2 linked regions of the Lepisosteus oculatus genome follow. The protein of the gene in region 2 interacts with the protein of the main gene of each other region in a pairwise test. Links are inferred from orthologs where the notes say so. Each region holds a gene or a part of one and is shown on either strand. Other genes may lie near its edges.

Evidence for each region.
Region 1: the proteins of catenin alpha-3 (region 2) and plakophilin-3 interact in a two-hybrid assay, tested with the Homo sapiens proteins (2 studies listed by IntAct). The link is inferred for Lepisosteus oculatus from reciprocal best matches to the Homo sapiens genes CTNNA3 and PKP3.

Annotation. Positions count from the first base shown.
Region 1 is NC_090716.1:2,055,664-2,065,776, reverse strand, and holds the start of plakophilin-3, read right to left. Parts: upstream 4,371-10,113; 5' UTR 3,960-4,370; coding exon 3,731-3,959; intron 1,153-3,730; exon of another isoform or gene 1,061-1,152; intron 1-1,060. UniProt on the Homo sapiens protein: A component of desmosome cell-cell junctions which are required for positive regulation of cellular adhesion. Required for the localization of DSG2, DSP and PKP2 to mature desmosome junctions.
Region 2 is NC_090699.1:34,544,346-34,554,144, reverse strand, and holds the start of catenin alpha-3, read right to left. Parts: upstream 4,513-9,799; 5' UTR 4,372-4,512; intron 3,146-4,371; 5' UTR 3,141-3,145; coding exon 3,042-3,140; intron 1-3,041. UniProt on the Homo sapiens protein: May be involved in formation of stretch-resistant cell-cell adhesion complexes.

The sequences.
Region 1 (10,113 bases), on a different chromosome or scaffold from region 2:
AGGAAGGATTCTTTTTTTTAAAAAAAAAAAAGGACGTAGAAAACTTTCACTTCATGATATATTACCGGCCTTTATGGGAATCATATTTACAAACGTAGGTGTAACGTGTAATTTTCACTATCTCTACATTCCCCCCCGTGTTTGACTGGAGTCAAGGTCACAGCGTCCTTTAACAGTGTTGTTCTAGCACACAGATTCACTCTAGTAACTGTCAATCCATACCACTGTACGTCAATTACTGGCCGATAACTGGTCGATTGACTGGAGCACGAAGCAGGGGCCGGTGTGAAAACCCCACACCAGCTGAGGTATTAGGAACTGGGACTGGTCATGGATCTGTTCATTCCAGGCACCCCACTGGGCTGGACTGGGCCAGGTCAGGCCACATCAGAGCCCCAGAGTCCATCACCCACCCTTGACTGTCACATCCTGACATGTAGCACCCCGAGACCTGGCTGCACCAGGATGAGTGACCTGCAGCTCTGTAGCACCCTGAGCCCTGACTGCACCAGGATTAGTGACCTGCAGCCCTGTGATGCCCTGAGCCTTGACTGCACCAGGATTAGTGACCTGCAGCTCTGTGGCACCCTGAGACCTGGCTGCACCAGGATGAGTGACCTGCAGCGCTGTGGCACCCTGAGACCTGACTGCACCAGGATGAGTGACCTGCAGCTCTGTAGCACCCTAAACCCCAAACTGCACCAGGATTAGTGACCTGCAGTGCTGTGGCACCCTGAGGCCTGACTGCACCAGGATTAGTGACCTGCAGCTCTGTAGCACCCTAAACCCCAAACTGCACCAGGATTAGTGACCTGCAGCGCTGTGGCACCCTGAGGCCTGACTGCACCAGGATTAGAGACCTGCAGCTCTGGAGCACTGGAGCACCCTGAGCCCTGACTGCACCAGGATTAGTGACCTGCAGCGCTGTGGCACCCTGAGCCCTGACTGCACCAGGATTAGTGACCTGCAGCGCTGTGGCGCCCTGAGACCTGGCTGCACCAGGATTAGTGACCTGCAGCGCTGTGGCGCCCCGAGACCTGGCTGCACCAGGATTACTGACCTGCGGCCCTGTGATGCCTGCTGCCAGCAGAAGCCAGCAGATCCAGAGGGGGCTACGCATTTGTTTTGGCAACACTCTCAGCTCACCACTGCGTCGAGGTGGAAGTGAAAAGGGCGCAGCACCACCCACGGCAGAAGCAGCCGCCGCCGCCTTGTTACGAAGACACAAAACATCCAGTCTGGTAGCCTTCGGCGTGAAGGAACCACGCGTCCGCAGATAAGAGGTACATCACGTCCACTCGCACAGCCCGAGCGGATGGGAGCTGCAGCAATCAGGAGCGTGACTCACCCTTTCTGCAGACCAGCAGACTTTGTCACAAACTCCCCCTTGACACACCCAGGCCCGCCCTCCCACCCACGGGACCTGCTCCTTTCAGGGCATGTGCTCAGCGTCCCGGGCAGGACGTGTCGGGCGCGGAGAGCCATTCCCAAGGCCCTCACAGGAGCAACAGCGAATGACACCCCCCCCCACCACCACCACGAGCAGCGACCAGCAGAGAGCTCACGCCCGTAGCTCCAGCGGCACTGTCTCGCCCCGCGCGCAGAGATATTCCCCCCGGGGCAAAACAAACTGCACCGTCTCGTCAAGCGAGAACACTGGAGGGGTGGGGTGGGGTGGGGGGGTGGTGTTTTGACTAAGTCATTGCTCAATAAGATCAGGCAGAACAGGACGCAAGCTCGCCACAAACATCACAAAGCATTGCTCTGCTGCTCCAGAGCCCCAGGGGAACAGGGGAACACTTGCAGAACGTCGGCGAACCCGCACAGGGCTCACCCCAGAGCCCACCGCCGGGACGTCCCGCGCGAGATCTGCACGCCGCAGTGGGTCAAAGGGAACAAGATCCCTGTGGGCCCAGGTGCGCTTTATCCGTCCCCTGGCCTACGGGAGGTTTTCCAGCACTCTGCCCTCTCTCATCGTCTGCTGTGCACTTGCCTCGTGCGTGGCCCGGGGGGGGAGGGGTTCGGCCCTGTCTCTGTGCTCTGCACGTTCAGGGCGATTCAGGGGAATTTTTTCTGGTTGCTGTCCTGACCCGACTTGCACGGCAATTCACACCCCGAGCATCAGCCTGTCTGCAGCACGGAGCAGCAGAGGAAAAAAGCCTGCAGCGAGGCAGAGCCTGGGCTTCACATCTGAACACACAAAGGGCACTAAACAATAGAGTACAACATGGCAATTTAAGGCTTTCTACAAACAATACGGGTTGGTTGCAATTATGGTACTCCAGCAGCCAAATCACCCTGCAGCTCCCAGCTGGCAGCCCCACTGGAGCTCAGCAGTGTGAGCCTGGCCAGTACCTGGATGGGAGACTCCTGGGAAAGCTGAGGCTGCTGCTGGAAGAGGTGTCAGTGGGGCCAGCAGGGGGCGCTCACCCTGCGGTCTGTGTGGGTCCTAATGCCCCAGTATAGTGACGGGGACACTGTACTGTAAAAAGGCGCCGTCCCTAGAATGAGACGTAAAACCGAGGTCCTGACTGTGATCATTAAAAATCCCAGGGTGTTTCTCGAAAAGAGTAGCCAAATTTCCCATTGGCCCTTATCAATCATGGCCTCCTAATAACCCCCCTCTCTGAACTGGCCTCATCACTCTGCTCTCCTCCCCACTGAGAGCTGGTTTGAGTTAGAGGACTGGAGCATCATCCAGGTGGGGCCTGTAAAGAGCTCTGAGTGGGGTGTCCAGAAAAGCGCTCTATAAGTGTAAGCAATTATTATTACTACCCGACAAACAAGAAAAGGACTCCTGTCCTGGCTACTCTGCACTGGCTTCCCCTGGTTAATTGAGCAGTTGAGCTTGAAATGATTTTGCTGGCATTCCAAGCCGCGGGCAGCCTTGCAGAGATGTTGTGTCCAGCAGCCCCCACACCGAAGGTCTGGTTAAAGAGAGAGGGTGGGGCCGCTCCCCACAACCTTGAAACTGCTCTGCCAAGAACTCAAGCTCGCTGGCTAGTTTGAGCTCCATGCCGATGACTCACTTTTACAAGATAAATTTTGTTGCTTAATGGATTTCCTACTGTTTGCATGTGTAACTTTTTTTTAATTACTTTGATTTTTTTCAAAATATCTGCACTTATACCTGCTTACTGGCTCTTCTCCATCTTGTTAACCTATTCTATTTTATTTCTAAAAAAGCACTTTGAGTCTTATGCGCGAAAGGTGCGTTATAAATGAGTGAAAAACAAATCATAACACCTTAAAGAAACTTAGGTGTTAATAAGCCATTACCCTCCCGCAATATATACAACACATACAGCAGTACCAGGGTTTACCGTTCTCATTAGATCAGACCGTACTGATCTATAGTATAGCGCAGGAAACTCCATGGAACATAATTACCACAAGCCAGCTCGGCACACAACAAGCGATCACTTTCGCCTCGATACTACCGTTTTGTGACAGCTACATCTCACCCACGGCTCTCGCCGTGAACGGAGCGGGCCAGTTTCTGAAGAGGCAGAACCGAAGACAGCGAGTATTAAAAAAAAAAAGAAAAGTCAGGAAGGGTCTCCGGCCACACTAAATCAAAGCCTCCTTCATGGGTTTAAGGCTGTCCGCACGTACTTGGGGTTGGGGAGGTGACACACACACCAGGTGCGCAAGAGAAACACACAATAAACGCGACACAAGACCACAGCGCAGCAGCTGCCGTCGGCGAGGAAGGACTGGCGAGTCTCACCTGAGGCGGTGCTGTGGGCTGTCCCGTTCACCGCCCTCGACACGGACCCGGAGGACTTCTCGGCCAGGCGCAGCTGGACCTGCTGCTGGACCCGGCGGGACCGGGAGAGCTCGTCCGAGCGGGTGCCGCCGCGCTCCAGCTGGATCTCCGAGGGGACGGCATAGCTGCTGACGGGCGTGTTGGTGGGCTGCACAGTGGACAGAAAGACGGTCTCAGAAATGACGCTCATGGCCGGGTCCGGAGGCGCTGCTCCCCCGAGTTCCGAAATAAGATAAATCCCTCCGTGGAGTCAGAGAGGGGCGCCTCTTTGTCCTCCTGCTTCTTCTCCTTGACGACGATGTCGGCAGGGAAGGTGTTAAGGGCTGGCGAAAAGTAAAGTTGCTCGGCACGGCGCACGAACAGGAAACCGCGCTGCAGGCGAACGCCACCGGACTGGATTTAACGAGCACAGACGTTGCTCAACTCGAGCAACTCGCCTCGGCTGGGCGCTTTTTTAGGAAGAAAAAAAATTATTAATCTTCTGCGCTCCTCGGTGCTAGCAACGTCTCTAGTGTCCTCGGACCTATTTTTATCCCATTCGCTTCGATCTGAACTGCACTCGCTCCCGGTGGACGAACATCAGTAAGGCAGTCGTCTGAGGGCGGGGGGGGCGGGGCTTCCTGCATTACCTTATCCAGGTGAGCCCGTGAGCCCGCCCCCCGCGCTGGCCCCGAGACCCCCTCTCCCCCCGGAGGCCTTAAGGTGGACCGGACAGTTCGGCGCGCCAGCGAGATGCCGAATAATCAACACGTCGGATTTGTTGTTTTACTTCTGCCTAACGCACTCAGCTGTCTCTTCCTAAACTACTCTTCTCCACTGGCAACAATGAACTACGAATTAAATCCGACCGCACCGCGCTGAACTACGGTGTGTAGAGCAGAAAATATAATTACCACACACCAGCTCGGCACACAAACAGCAGTCCTATTGATATTACGTTGACAGAAAAACATTTTTTAAGATAAACGTGCATCCTGGATCCACTTTGTTAGTACCACGCATTATATACAATACAGCTTGATGTATTTAACAACATTTTATCAACTGATTTATTGATTTTTGACTGTAGAATCAACCTTTAGTAACGCTATTTAAGAAACTTTGATCTATGTTAGTAGTTCTACATCTTTTATGCGAGTGCGAGTCTCCTTAATATTTAATCTGATGTTACTAATAGTTGCTCCTTCGTCTGAGAATATTTTCTCCGAAGGTATTAAAATTATAGTACTGTCCTAAAACGTTTATCTGGACTAAAGCGGTGTTGGACTCCAGTGGAGCCCTCTATTAATTAAAGATGATTGAAACATTGATTTATTTTCCAAACCCACGAACTGAACTTGTTTTTAAACAGTTTCGCCTCTTTACAAATCTGTCACCGGTGCCCGATGACTGCATTTTAGAGTCCCGTCGTCTCCAGCACCGCTCGTAATGAGATTGTCACAGCGTCATTCCTACACCTTTCTGTGAATCGTCGCTTGATAACCCGCTAGAGGCTGTTTGGAAGACCAAGGCAGAACAACTGTTTGAAATAAAAAAAAACAATTCTTTATTTTTCGTCTGCAGCAAAGCGTTTTCTTCTAGTTGCTTTAGTAAAATGCCAAGCTGTGGGAATGGGTCTCTGGGTTATTCCCAATTGAGAACGCGTTTTTAATGCGATTTAACTGGCGCGGCGGTTAGCACTTCTGCCTCGGGTTCGGAACCGGACCTGTGGTGCTGTCAGGGTGGGGTTTCCTCCCACAATCCAGAAACACACACTTGATCTTAGCCAAAAGGCCGACATCGCATCGGCAGGTCAGTTGTTTCTGGGGGAAATTGACCCTAGGTGCAAGTGTTTTAGTGTCTCAAGTAGTTCCCGTTGGGAGCCGCGTCAGCGCGCTTAGACGGCAAAAGGAACAGGTACAGGTTTATTCCCTGCCTAAAAGAGAAGAAAAGAAACACGACGTTTCGGCTGTGGAGCCTTCTTTGGGTGTGTTTGTGTGTGCGTGTGCCCTGTGATGGCCTGGCGTCCCGTCCAGGATGTACCCTGCCTGGCGCCCGTTGCCTGCTGGGATAGGGTCAGGCCCAGCGACCCTGAACTGGAGAAAGGGCTTCGACAATGGCCGGATGGACAGATGCCTACTGCGGCCGTACTTCGTGTGCTCTGTGGCCTCTCTGCTCTGTTCTCAGCCCCACCCCGACTTCTGCTTTCTCCGGAGAATCGACACTCTTGCCAATTACACCTTTAACAAAAAAAAAAACAAACGACCGTGAACGGGGGGCGTTTCGCCGAACAAACGTTGCTCGGAATCGAAAACGGCACGGTGGCGCGTCGGAACCTTTTGAAGCCAGGGCGGTTCTGGACTGGACGTGTCCGTGACCCCCCCGGCTGTGTGAATGACGAGCGGTGGCCCGGGGCGGACGTCGCGGTTCGGTTCGGCTCCTGGGAGTTTCCGAGCCGGCCATGCAGGCGTCTCCGGAGAGCTGCGCTCCGCGCTCAGATGCGCAGCGGCTCGGCGACAGCAGTCCTAATGAATGCACGACCGGGGACTTCAAGCTCCCCCTACTTACATTTTACAGTGATTGAATATTTATGTGTAAAAAAATAAAAAATAAAAAACCCCAAAGGCGTCAGATATCTAGCCTCGTTAGGAAAGTTTACTGCGTTTACGTCCAAGAATAATCCAAAAAATGTTCCCAAACTTTGTGGATATGCCACTATCGAAAACGGTTTTAGTTCATCTAACTGTGTTGAAGTTCGACCCCGCTGTTGAATAGGATTCAGAAGCCAGGACTGGCTCCAAACGAGGAGAGGTCATTCACTGACCGCCAGCCCGCCGACACCCCCCTCTCGCTCGTTCTCCTGCCGTTTCGCACCTGCGACCTCATTTTTTTTTATTCCCCTAGATGACGACGCATTGATCCCACACGAACTCCGATGAAATTAAAAAGAGGGTAGGAGGGAGTGTGGGCTTTAAAACGGAAGCGCATTGCTGCCACCGAGGACCCAAAAACAAGATCCTCACCCTGTCCTCGCAATTAGGAGAACCTGATGTCGTCATTACGAGATAGTAATTCTCGCGTACTTCATGTGATCACGCGATAGCACAATTGTCATACAGTACCTTTATGGCCACGTGCGGATTTAACAGTTTTAAGCACACTGTTTGCACGTGTAACTGTTCATAACGGACCTATCGTCGCTTTGATCTCTGCATCCCACAAAACCGCTCCCCATGATTATAATGATCCTGTTCAGGTTTGCTAAAAATGGCAAGATTTCACTCGGACTAAAACCCCAGGTGAAAGTAGAGCCGTACAAATTCTGCAGCGCCGGACACTGACATGATCATTAAACCCGAAAGCCAGCCAAGCTCACGGTAGCTTCTAGATGCGTCCAGTGCACAGCGTAACAGGTCGTCCATACACTGGAGGAGTCATTGCTGTCTCAGGATTACGCCCGAATGTTTCACCAGCTGGAGCTCGAAAATAAAGACCTGAGCCTTCTGTTTCAAACAGTTGCTCTCCCTCGGATCCAGACAGCCTCTAGTGGGTCATCAAGTGGTGATTCAGAGAAAGAGGTAGAACCGACACTGTGACAAGCAGTCTTATTATGAGTGGTCTTGGACACGACCAGACTCCCCGGTTAATCAGTGGAAGAATGATTACTGGTGACAGATCTATAAACCAGCAAGAGGGACCTGGTATCCCAGCAGCATCTAACGTTACAGCTGCCCAGGGACCTGCAAAAAGGGCAGTTTTAACAAGTCACCAACATCACAATTCACACCTTTTCTTCAGGATAACTCTATATTGTTTTTTTGTCTGCTGTCCCCTTACGAACAGGCAGCAGTGTGTGGTTTCACTGGTATGAAGTGAGGTGCTTGAGTACTTTCGCACAGTAACTCCCTCGTGAATGTGGCACAGCAACGAGTAGGCCTGAGCGAAACTGCGGGAGGCAAGAGGCAAGAGCAGAAGACGCAGCATGAAGGCAGTGTCACAGCTCCTGGGGGCTGTGGGCAGGGGGAGCTTGAAAAACCTGCTCTGTATAATTACCATGGCAAGAGAGAGCCTGCCGGTGATGTCAGAGAGCCTGCCGGTGATGTCAGAGAGCCTGCCAATGATGTCAGAGAGTCTGCTAGTCACGAGAGAGAGTCTGCCAGTGATGTCAGAGAGTCTGCCGGTGATGTCAGAGAGTCTGCTAGTCATAAGAGAGTTCTGCTGTGTGAGCGAAATCTCTCACTGTAAGTGGGATCGCTCGTCTTGTTTCTCGATCGCGCTGTCCTGTCATCCAGCATCTACTTCCATCTCTGCCCAGAAAATCCTTTGGCGCTTCCTTGATTGACTACGGCCCTGTGCGTACCCCAAGCTAGAACAAGCCACCTTAATTTTGGATGCCAGAAGGCAACTGGGGTTGTGTTGAAGAGCCAGGCAGGACGACTGGTCCCGAGCCTTTTGGGATTTTTATTCAGCCCAAAGGTTTTGCCTCGTGCCTCCTGTTCCCACTCGCTGGGAAAATGCCCCCCAGGAAAGCTGCCCCAGATGGAGGCTGTGCCCGCTGACCTGTCCCCCCAGCTCACTCCTCCTCCAGAAGGAAGGATCAGAGCCAGGGCGGGAGGGGCCTCAAAATCAAGAGTCTCTCAACGCTCATTCAGCCTCTGCAGTACCTGTGACAGGCCTCCAGAAACTCGATTTGTCGTGGGGACAAGTGACGCAGGGTGGATTCTGATCATTACTAGGCCTTGCCTTGCACATCGACATGGCCAGCAGCCACATCACTCTGCAACTCAAAAACTGGCAGCCCCACTGGAGCCTGGTCAGTACCTGGATGGGAGACTCCTGGGAAAGCTGAGGCTGCTGCTGGAAGAGGTGCACACTGGTGGGGGTGGAGGGGATCCCCATTACCTGTAAAGCGCTCTGAGTGGAGTGTCCAGAAAAGCGCTATATAAGTGTAAGCAATTATTATTATTATTATTATTATCGAAAATTGCAGAGAACTTTTTGAGGTCCAGCTTTTGACACAACCCTGAAAAGTGAACTGTGCCACTGTGTTTCAAAACATACCCGTGGTCTACTTAAAAGTGCCCTTTCTCTCTTAGTTTTCCTCCTTTTCCTGGTTTGAATCAACGCAGTTGGTATCCTGTCTTTGTGCTGACTGGCTTCTCACACTGGCACAGCAGCTGGAATAAAGCCCATTGTGTGCTGCACAGGTGTGCCATTTGATCACACAGTGTGGCTGTTCAGCCCTGTGCCCCTCTTATCAGTGTGCACAGGCAGCTCCTCCCACCCCACCCCCCACACACAAGCTGTCTCACGCCTTTCCCTGTGGCAGCCCTGCTCAGACATCACTGGGAGACTCTCTCTTATGACTAACAGTCACTATGACATCACTGGAGACTCGCTTTTATGACTAACAGTCACTATGACATCACTGACAGACTCTCTCGTGACTAGCAGACTCTCTGACATCATTGGCAAAGGCAGAGCTGTATGTCACCAACAGCCTCCCTGCCCAAGGTGGGGAGTCCAGGTAGAGACTGGAGGCAGGGCAGAGCGGTGGCTCTGTGGCTCAGGATCTGCGCCTGTGGCTGGAAGGTTGCTGGTTCAAATCCCACAGATGGCAGAGGAATCCTACTCCAGCAAGGCCCTTAACCCCAACTGCTCCAGGGGTGCTGTACAATGGCTGACCCTGCGCTCTGACCCCCAGCTTCTCTCTCCCTGTCTGTGTCTGCAATTCCTAATGCAAGAAATTGTATAGGGCTAAGTAATGTTATGTTACCATTGTCCTCTGATACTGCACCACCGACTGTGATAAGTTATTATACAATCTGTCGATGGCCTTGAGCTCAGCCCAGCCCCTGGGTCAGAGGACAGTGCCAACCAGCTCTCTCACCAGTCTCTCACCCAGTCTCTCACCCCCCAGCAGAGCTCTTCTTGTGAGACAGCACGGCCCAGCCGATGAAGACTAGCCCATCGGTTAGATATTTATCTGGTGTCCTTCGTGCGCATGCATCGCGAGAATATGCCATCACCTTCCGGGATAGATGCAAGCACACTTGAGCTGGCGGTCAAACGCTAGCCTGACCAAGAGGCCACCCAATGGGAGATTCCTTCAGCAGAGTTTTACATCATCACACTCAATTCCCAGCTCTCGGGAACACACAAGAGGAAACCCCACCAGAGCAGGGTCAGCGATCGCCTACAGATATTCTACTCAAGCAACATCAGTTGAATAAATGAGTCTTCTTAGTCAGGTCTTTAGAAGACAAAGAATTCTAGGGTTATTTTAAATGTGTTTTAGACGAGGTAATACTTTAGTTATGGAGGGACTGAATGGCACTGTGCGAGGTGGCTGGGGAACGCAGCTT
Region 2 (9,799 bases):
TGTATGTCAGCACCCCTAGCCCAATTATTAGGAGGACATGATATGTAAAAGCCAAGAGGAAATTTGGCCAGGATGCCAGGGTAATACCCCTACTCTTTTGGAGAAGAACACAGGGATTTTTAATGACCACAAAGCATCAGGACCTCAGTTTTAAATCTCATCCAAAGGACAGCACCTGTTTACAGTATAGCATCTCCATTACTATATTGGGGCATTAGGACCCACACAGACCACAGGGTGAGCACCCCCTACTGGCCCCTCTAATAACTCTTCCAGCAGCAACCTTAGCTTTCCCAGGAGGTCTCTCACCCAGGTATTGACCAGGCTCACATACAGTACTTCGTTTTTGTCATGAAAGTGTGACCGTTGCGGTTCTGTGCAGTCTCGTGCCCTCCTCCAACCCGTTTCATCCCACAACACCTGGGGCGCGAACCCGGGTCTCTGGAGTAACGCAACAGGGAACCAGCCACATGAGCTAAAGGAAACCTCCCTCAACCCAGGCAGCTGAGGTCCCTGCTATGCGCAGTGAGGGTGATGATGTCACCGTATCTGAACTAGCTCCGCTGCAAAAGCCGGGTTGCCCTCCCGTGTAGGATGATATTTAGACCCTATGCGAGGAAAAAGGAGCATAGACAGGGTTCAGGGGAGACACACAGGGTTAATTGGTGCTCACAGTGAAGTAGGGGAATATCCGAAGACAAACATATCCAAGGAGGTTCAAGGGGGAGTCAGGAAGCAGTCCATAAGTCCATTGCCGGGAGATCCATCAGGAGATGCAGACAAACAGGAACACATGACAAGACAAGAATCCAGGAAATACAGAGCTCTGTTCTAAGCCCAGGGCTGTGCCTCCTCCTGAAGCCTGGTGGTAGGCAGGCCATCGGGCTTCCATGTTCCAAAGATGAGCCCCAAAGACAGGAAGGAGTAAACTTTAACAGGGAAGCTAAAGCACAGTACACCAGGAAATAATGTAGCTAATAAAGACTAACATGAGGAGGTTGGAGAGTCCTCTGTAGGAGAGGATGGTAACTGTAACAGTACCCCCTCCTAGAAGGGCAGACTCCGGGTGCCCTTATAAAATAAAAACGAAGGTGACTAAACCAGGGACAGCTAAAAGCCAAGACTATATACTGTACAACTAGGAAAGGTTACTATATACGATAATGACTATTTACAACTAGAAAGTCACCAAAAAACGTGAATATATACAGGGCGGGCAGTCCTCTCTTTGAAAAAATACCAAGAAAGAGAAAAAAAAAAATCCAAAACAGGCAGACTCTCCAAATCAAAACAATCAGAGTCCAGACATCAAAAAAAAGGAAAAAAAATCCTGATGGGAACTCCATGGGGTCTTAGTAGAAGACTCAGCTTTCTGTCACAGGAGCTGGTTCTGACTCTCATGAATTGCGTAAGAAGACCCTATGTGTGATGGTATAATGTGATGGTATAAGAGTCTGGAGAAGGACATCAGGGAAGGCACAGCTAGGTAAGGTCGGGATAACAGACAGGGGATGGTGACTTGAGTGATCTGGTGCACAGGAGGCATGAAGTAGGCTAACGAGTCCAAGGAAGTCCAGAAGGGAAAATCGGGGCGCGGTCCGTAATCCAAAAGCCGCGTGGTCCAGCCATGACAAAGACCATTAACACAGGAATGGGAACGTTGAACCAGGAACATGGAAGATTAAAATCATAACGAGGCAAAGCGCTCCGAGCCCCAGACTCAGAGGTCAGGACGCCATGGTGAAGCCTATGCCTTTGGGCCACTTCTGTGCCTGATGGTAGGCGGGCTTCTGGGCGTCCGTCTTCCAAAGCTGAGCCCAGAACTACGGAGACGCCAAGCTTAAATAGGGAATCGGGGATAGGAAATAGCTGGGACAAATAAAGCTGGGAACACAACAAAAAATGTAGGAACACCCTCTAGAGGATGGAAGACGACTGTGACAGGTTTGTTCAAATAGGTCTAGTAACATAAAAAATGCCCCAAAGTGAATTTTGGGGGATGCAATAAAACTGAACTGAATAAAAACACAGACACACTAAGACATTATGACATTCAAGATATTTGCTTCCAGGGGTGAGGGATATATATATGTAATATATACTGTATGTAAGTAAAAGAATACATTCTGTTTACTCCGAATTATTATATGGGAATTGCTGATTGTAAACCTCTGATCAAGAGTCATAGCAGGTGTGAAATTAAGAGAACCCTATGACTCTTTCTGCAGAGAAACCCTTCAACAGCTTAGCATTCCACTATGCAAACTCTAAAACTGGCACATGCTGCTTGAAGAGACATATCTTTTCATTCTGCCCAAGACTACATAGGCAGTTCCTCACAACTTGCAATACGACTCCAGGATCAGCTATTGTACTGAGACACTTTTTCTGAAGCATAGGATTGGAGCTGATAGCAACTAACCAGGTAGCATAAAAGTGATTGCATGGATGAGCAGAGCAACAACAAAATAGTTGTGGCTAAATTCAGTCTAAAATCTGCACTTGTCTGGGCTGTATCACTCTGTGCCTGTAACCAAGACTCCTAGTAGCACCTAAGCTGGTCAAGAACAGTGGCTATTAGCTTTTGTAAACTCTCCTTCTAGCTGCTCAATAGCAGATTCTGTGGTTGACTGACCGTCTTCTGAACTGTCATTTTTCATTCAGATAGCCTTGTATCCTCTGAAACCCATATTTATCTAACCAGAACAAAAACCTTCTCATTTTCTGAGTGTCCTGAAAAAACAAGTCCACACATTCACAAGAAAATAGTACACCAGTGTATTATTAAGCTGCTTCCTAAAGATGCCATGCCCATCTTCAGTTTCTCCAATTATAATAATCAACTTCTTATTCATGGAGCAATTTGGTAGAAATAATTGGAGGCTTAAAAATGAATTGGTGGCTTGGTGTTAGATTACTTGTTTAGAAAGCAAGCATTTTGTTAACTGTTAATTTTCCTCTAAGATTAAATTCATTGATCAAAGTCAAAGGTAAACGTTTTTTCCATTGGTATGAATGTCCTTGTTTATTAAACTGAATACCTGTATAATCAGTGGTTCAAGCAACCTTTCCACTGTTATAGTCCTGATCTGAAGATCCTTAGGGTCGATTTTCAGCTGAAGATTTTGTAGCAGTGTCATTTTACCTATTAGAAAAAGAAGCAAAAAACACATAACATTATCCACTGCACAATAATAATTCAGTTTTCAAAAAACTCCCTTTGGTTTATATCAGTTACCTACATCACACAGTACAATTATTGGAGTTCCACATTAATACAGACCTTAAGGAGATATATTACAGATGAATCAATTATTTTACTTGACATCTGAGTCTTCTAAAATAGGTTTTGATAAAACAGTCTAATTACACATATCATATTGGATAAATACGACTGAACATGTATACAGTATGTAGTTTAATAATTAGAATATTAATGGAATACATGGTTACTCTGAGTGATTAAATATGAACAAAGTGAAAAATGTCATCAACTAATCAATAATTTGAAATCTAATTCTCAAAGATAAAGATTCATGTAGCTACTGTAAATGTTTTGAACCATTTATAAACTATTTAGAAACTTTTACCTTAGTATGTGACCCTGACCAAGGTATTCCTAGTAGATTATAAATAGGCTGCAGGCTTCCTTGCATTGCAAAAAATAAACCCAAGCTTTGCGTAGTATTCTATATTTAGCACGCCAACAGTTTCTCATCAAAGTGAAACTTCTATTTGGTTAGTTAAATTAAGAACAAAAATATATTTATAAAAACGTTTACATGTCAGAATACAGAAAAAACTTGCAAAATTATAAACTTTATAAACTGCAAAGTGTCGAAAATAGTTGCACACTGTGTCCAAGCATTCAAATGAGTTATGCACAAAAATAAATTTAAATATACAAATTATGTTATGTCCCTGGAAAACGCATTCTCTATTTAGTGGGGATGACTACAGTGTACAGGAAAACACCTGGTGTCTTTCGTTGTCATTACATAATTAAAACGAGCTGGTGTTTTCCACTTAATTAATTCAACTATTAAATGTATATAAATTACATATTTATAAGGACAAAGCTTAAAAAAGACTAAAACATCTTGCACGGTAAATGTCCGATACCGGTGGTCAACTAAATAAATTCTGTCTTATTAAGGCACGAAGTGTCCGTCATCTGTTTAAATGCACTCGCTACAACCGCACACCCTTTTAAATAATTAATCAAAACAATTGATTCCCTTCCAAGAAAACATTGAAATTAAAATTTAAAGTTTATGATTTAGTAAACTATTCGAAACAGTGACGTTTTAAATGAGATATCAAAAATACGAACAACTAGTGAGAAAGAAATAGCAAAACACGCATTCTTACCTTTCTAAGTCTAAAGCACAGAAAACTGTTTTGCTGACAAGGTTTAGCTGATGTACAATGAACTTTTCCACGCCTGCAGAGCACAAGTTGGAAGCCACAATCCAGTTAAAAGAAATTCAGCTGGTATTGCCCTCCCCCCTCCTCCCTCTGTTCGCTTGCCAGTCATGCGCTCCAATGCCTACTTAAACTGTCAGCCGAGCTACAGTTGGCGCATGATTTCATTGACATCCACTTGCTGCTTCTGAAAATATCCGAATGACAGGAGGGCTTCGGAGAGGTTAACACAGCTAACAAGAAGCAGGCCCCTTCCTCAAAGAGATTCTACTGTACCAGCACCTGGCAGATATACAGTAAATACTGTATACTGTATGTTCTTTGCAGAAAAATTCTAATAATCACCTTTATTTTATATAGTGTCTTTAATTGTACAATACATCCTGTCAAGTTACATGTTCAACTTCTCAAGCCTTCCAAATGGCAAGTTCTACATTTCAGATAAAATCAAAATCCCCATTTATAGTGATATAAAGAACTCTGTAATCCCTTTCAGTCATTTCAGACAGAACGTACATCAGTTACATGCTAATCACTTATACAATTCAATATTGACAGAGGAGAATATAGAAATGTTTAAGTATACTGTACTAACCTTTCCATTTAAGGAATCGATTAACATTTGACCTCTGTATATATGCAACTCTGTATTAGTTATTAATTTTTTTCTATTTTTGTTAATTAACCCAATATTTTTCGATTCAGACTTCAATGAATTTTTTTTTTTATCTATGGATTAAGCAGAAAGAAACTTTTGTACTAATACCAGCAAATATATACTTCTAAGGGGTGGATGTCAGAGTGAATATCGTGTACCAAGATGAATCCCAAAATCCAGAGTATATCACAATGGTTTAGGATACAAGATGGGATATCATCTAGGATCAGTCCATCACAAGAGAACAATTAAGACACACCAGTTTACTTAGCCACCATTTCTTTTGGGAGCTGGGAGGAAACCACAGCACCTGGAATAAATCCACATGAACAAGGGGAGAAATGCAAACTCACACAGAGTCTGAATGCCTGCACCTTAGTCCAGAAATGAATCCAGCAACTATGATCTGTGGAAAAGCAGTGATAGACACTGCACCACAGCTCTGAACCAATGGTGTATTGCAGTACATTGTAATTCCAACAGTGCAACTGTCAAGTTTTCTCACACATCCCCAGATTGAAACCTAGGGCTTTTGCATGAGGCCCTGCATGGTGCCAAGCTAACAGATACTGCCGTTTGTACCTCTGCTGCATTTGGTGTTTCATCCTGTGTCCCATACACACTACAGTGGCTCTCAAACAAGCCTTTTCATTTTAGTACAGTGGGGTGCATGCTTAATCCTTGGTAGGGTAGCTCTTGCAATTTAATTAAGCATACTGTATACAAAGTTTAAAAGCTCACATCTGACTGATTTCAAATACATTTGTCAGGAATTTAAAAATAAAGAGCAGAGCAACAGTGCTATATACCATATATGCTTAACAAAACAATATATTTCAAAGTGGTTTACAGTAAGTGGCCAGTACCCTACTTTCCATGCTGCTTTACACTAATGGGCAATAGTATTTACTCTTTTTTTATTTAAGCTTTTTTTGGTTTTATTGAGGACAGGCCCTTGCTGGATTCTATTCCTGTTGGTTTTCGTTAGTGAGAGATTCATGTGATTATGCAAAAATAAGAGAATGCGAATTATAATATAATGCATAATTTAATTGATTGAGATCTGCATAAATGGTTATAATAAGTCATTTCTGTCCACTTATGTTGGCCACCTGGATTATACTTTTTCTCCAGGTGAGGGTAATGGCAATATAATATTTGCTTATCACTGTATTGTTCTAATTATCTAATTTTCTAGCTTTTACTTTCTCATTCTACTGCAGTACACAGTCATAGATATTTGAGGGTAAAACAAAAGCCAGTAACTATTTACACTCTTTGTTTATTAGTTTGGATTTAAGCATTTGGACACTAAATTCATCGAAAACCAAGCTGACCTCTTTTCACTGGAACACTAAATTAAAGTGAAATAAACAAGTTAAAACCTCATGAAATACCCTAGGCACTGCTTATAATTGCCTTCCTTTTGGGAATAGGATTTTTATGCAAGGAGATGAATTATTGAAGCAAGCATTTGTTATTAACTGAAGAACTCTAAAAGAGAGAATTTCAATTGAGGAATATAACCTATCTGAGAACTGCCAATAAGAATCATATCCATTCTCCACACGAGTGTGGTGCAAAAGAGCTGTAATTTTTGCAAAGACACTATAACACTTCAGAGAAGCTGAATCAAGTTAGGAGCAACATCACAGACATTTCCCAGTAATCCATCCATCCTTTTGCCAACAGATTTATCCAAAACATCTACCAGTGTATCTTTGGACTATGGGACAGACCCAGAACACCTGGAGGAAACAACACAAACACAGGGAGATCAAACAAACTACACACAGATAGCACACCAGGAACTGAAACCAGAGCCCAAACACAGCAAGGCAGCAATGCTAACCACTGTGTCACCATCCAACCCTATTTCAAAAATATTAATATAATATAAAATATTAATATCATACACAGTATAAGCATTTTAAACATTCTATGAATGCTTATGATGCATAAGTTTAGTATCATTAAGATACAATATTGAGAAGCTGCCCACTAGATAAATCTGGAAGGCAGTTAGGCACATATTAAGTTGGAATTGCAAAGTAAAGTTTCATCACTGAGGATGAATGTGAGAAGAGAAAGAAAGATGTAGCCATAGCAATTAAACAAAGTGTAGATCACCAGCAGCCCTATCAGTCTTCAATTCACAAGTGGCACTGAAGCTAAGCAGTAGTAAGCTTGGCCAGTACCTGGATGGGAGACCTCCTGGGGAAAAACTAAGGTTGCTGCTGGAAGGGGTGTTAGTGGCTCCAGCAGGAGGTGCTCACCCTGCGGTCCATGTGGGTCCTAATGCCCCAGTATAGTGACAGGGACACTATACTGTAAACAGGTGCCATCCTTCGGTTGAGACGTAAAACTGAGGTCCTGACTCTCTGTGGTCATTAAAAATTCCAGGGTGTTTCTTGAAAAGAGTCCTGGCCCAAGTTTCCCATTGGCTCTTACCAATCATGGCCTCCTAATAATCCCCATCTCTCCTCCCCACTGATAACTGATGTGTGACGGGCGTTCTGGTGCACTATGGCTACCATTGCATCATCCAGGTGGATGCTGCACATTGGTTGTAAAGCCATTACCTGTAAAGCACTTTGAGTGGATTATAGATCATATTAGATCATATTATAGATCAACAAAATGAATCTGTTTAAAGTCACAGGTATAAGGGGCTTGCTTTTTCATAGAGAATATCAATTCTTCCTCTTCATTTAAATAAGCCATTCTGCAATAACTAGTCTAAATTAGAATAATGGCTAAAAATTAACTTCAAGTTCTTTCGATGTTTCAAAAAGATATTTTGAATTTTTACATACAGTACATTTCATAAAAGATTCCTATAGCAGAAAGGAAGAAAAATTGGGAAAGGTGATTGAGATCCAGACTATACTCTCAAACTAAAGATTAATAAAAATATCTGTATTGTAGCTTTACAAATGATTGTACTATGATTGGTCTACAATGATTGTGTACATACTATACATTTAATTTGTATGTACTGTATTACCATCATAATCTCCAAGGTCCACAAAATTATTCTAATTTAGTAATAGACATGAAACCCCAATATGAAGTCTGTAGAAACAAAACTTCTTAAAATGAAAATTAATTTCCATAGAGATCTATCACAGCTTAACCTTACTTATTAGCCTACACAGAGATGGTGGAGAATCAATTAATGTTTTTGTTTCGTAACATATTCCTTTGCTGTAACATACTAAGTAAACAACAATATTTTCTGCAATTTCACATGTTAATGGGGCTGGCAGTGAAACCAAATTTGTTCTCCATGCTCCAAATTCAACATGCGCTTTAAAGAATGCAACACCCACTTCAGGAATGTGTAAAAATATGCCATCAGTAAAACATTTTTTTCATCCTGTGCTGTTTGATGGTGGGCATCACAGTGCAGCCATGGTTAAGTCAATACTTATTATAAAAACTGAACTGTACATCACAGGTTCTGAAAAGTAGCTGTGAAAAGAAGTAAAAACAATAAGATGTGTATGATTACTTCTTCAATGTGCATGCTGCTCATGTAAGAACTTGCCAGAAGGGAGCCATTTCAGATGCCCTTCTTTTTGTTAACAGTGGTAGGAAGTAATATATATATATATTATCACTCCTTCAATTCATAGAACTTTCTATTTCATTTTATTTTCCAGCAATTTCATTTAAGAAACGTGCAACACTTACCTACTCTGGACATCTTGTGATTCAGCTTTGATTCAGATATGAAACATTTTGTCATGTGTTTTTCATTTACAATACTGCACATACAAAACTTACAAGTTATAGGTTTATTCCATGCTGAAAAAAGAGGAAAGAAAACACAACATTTCGCCCATGGAGCCTTCTTCAGGTGTGAGAAAGACAGGGCAGAGGGCATGCAAAAATTAGCTTGACTTAAATTTAGATAAAATATTAAGCATATGAAATTGCAATTTTTGTAGGTTTTTTTTTCATTAGCAGATAGCCTGCAATATTCACATCACTGTCACCTCATGGCCAAAATCCATCTGTGAATCTGTGAGCAAAGAGGATTGACAGACAGCCACACTCTGATTTCATTGCTTGCATTCCAAGCTTCTGAAATCTGATCAGGACTAGTCACTGTGGCAGCATTAGGCAAATTAATTCAAGCCAATTTTCTTTTTAAAGTCAAAGAGAACTAGGCCAGTGAAGCATTGCTTGGAGTCCAGCCAAAACATGCTGTTTAACGTTACCAAATTCAAAATTTCTTCATAACAGCAAGATTCAATATGAGATACAGTATGCACTTCTAGCAAAACAAGAACTACAGAAGGTGTCTGCATTTACTTAAATATGATGTGCTTAGATTTCGAAAACAAGAAATGTTAAAAATAACCATTTATAATTATATATGCATTCCAAAAACCTTCTTCTCTGGAGTCTCTTAAGCTGTAGCAACAAAAACTACCAAGAGAAAGAAGACAATAAGAAACCATTCTAATGCCTGCTATACAGATATCTCCTTTCCTGTTACTGTTGCTCTGATCGGCTAATGCAGTCTAATCTGTGGATATACGGTAGAATTAATTGATTTCACACCTTTGTCAATGTCATTGTTTTCTCTGTATAATTTTTGCAGTTTTTTCATTTGAGAAATGAATGGAAAAGTACATAATATCACATTAAAGCAAACAGCTTCCAAAGCAGCAGCTACCACAATGACAAAGTAGATGTATCTCACTG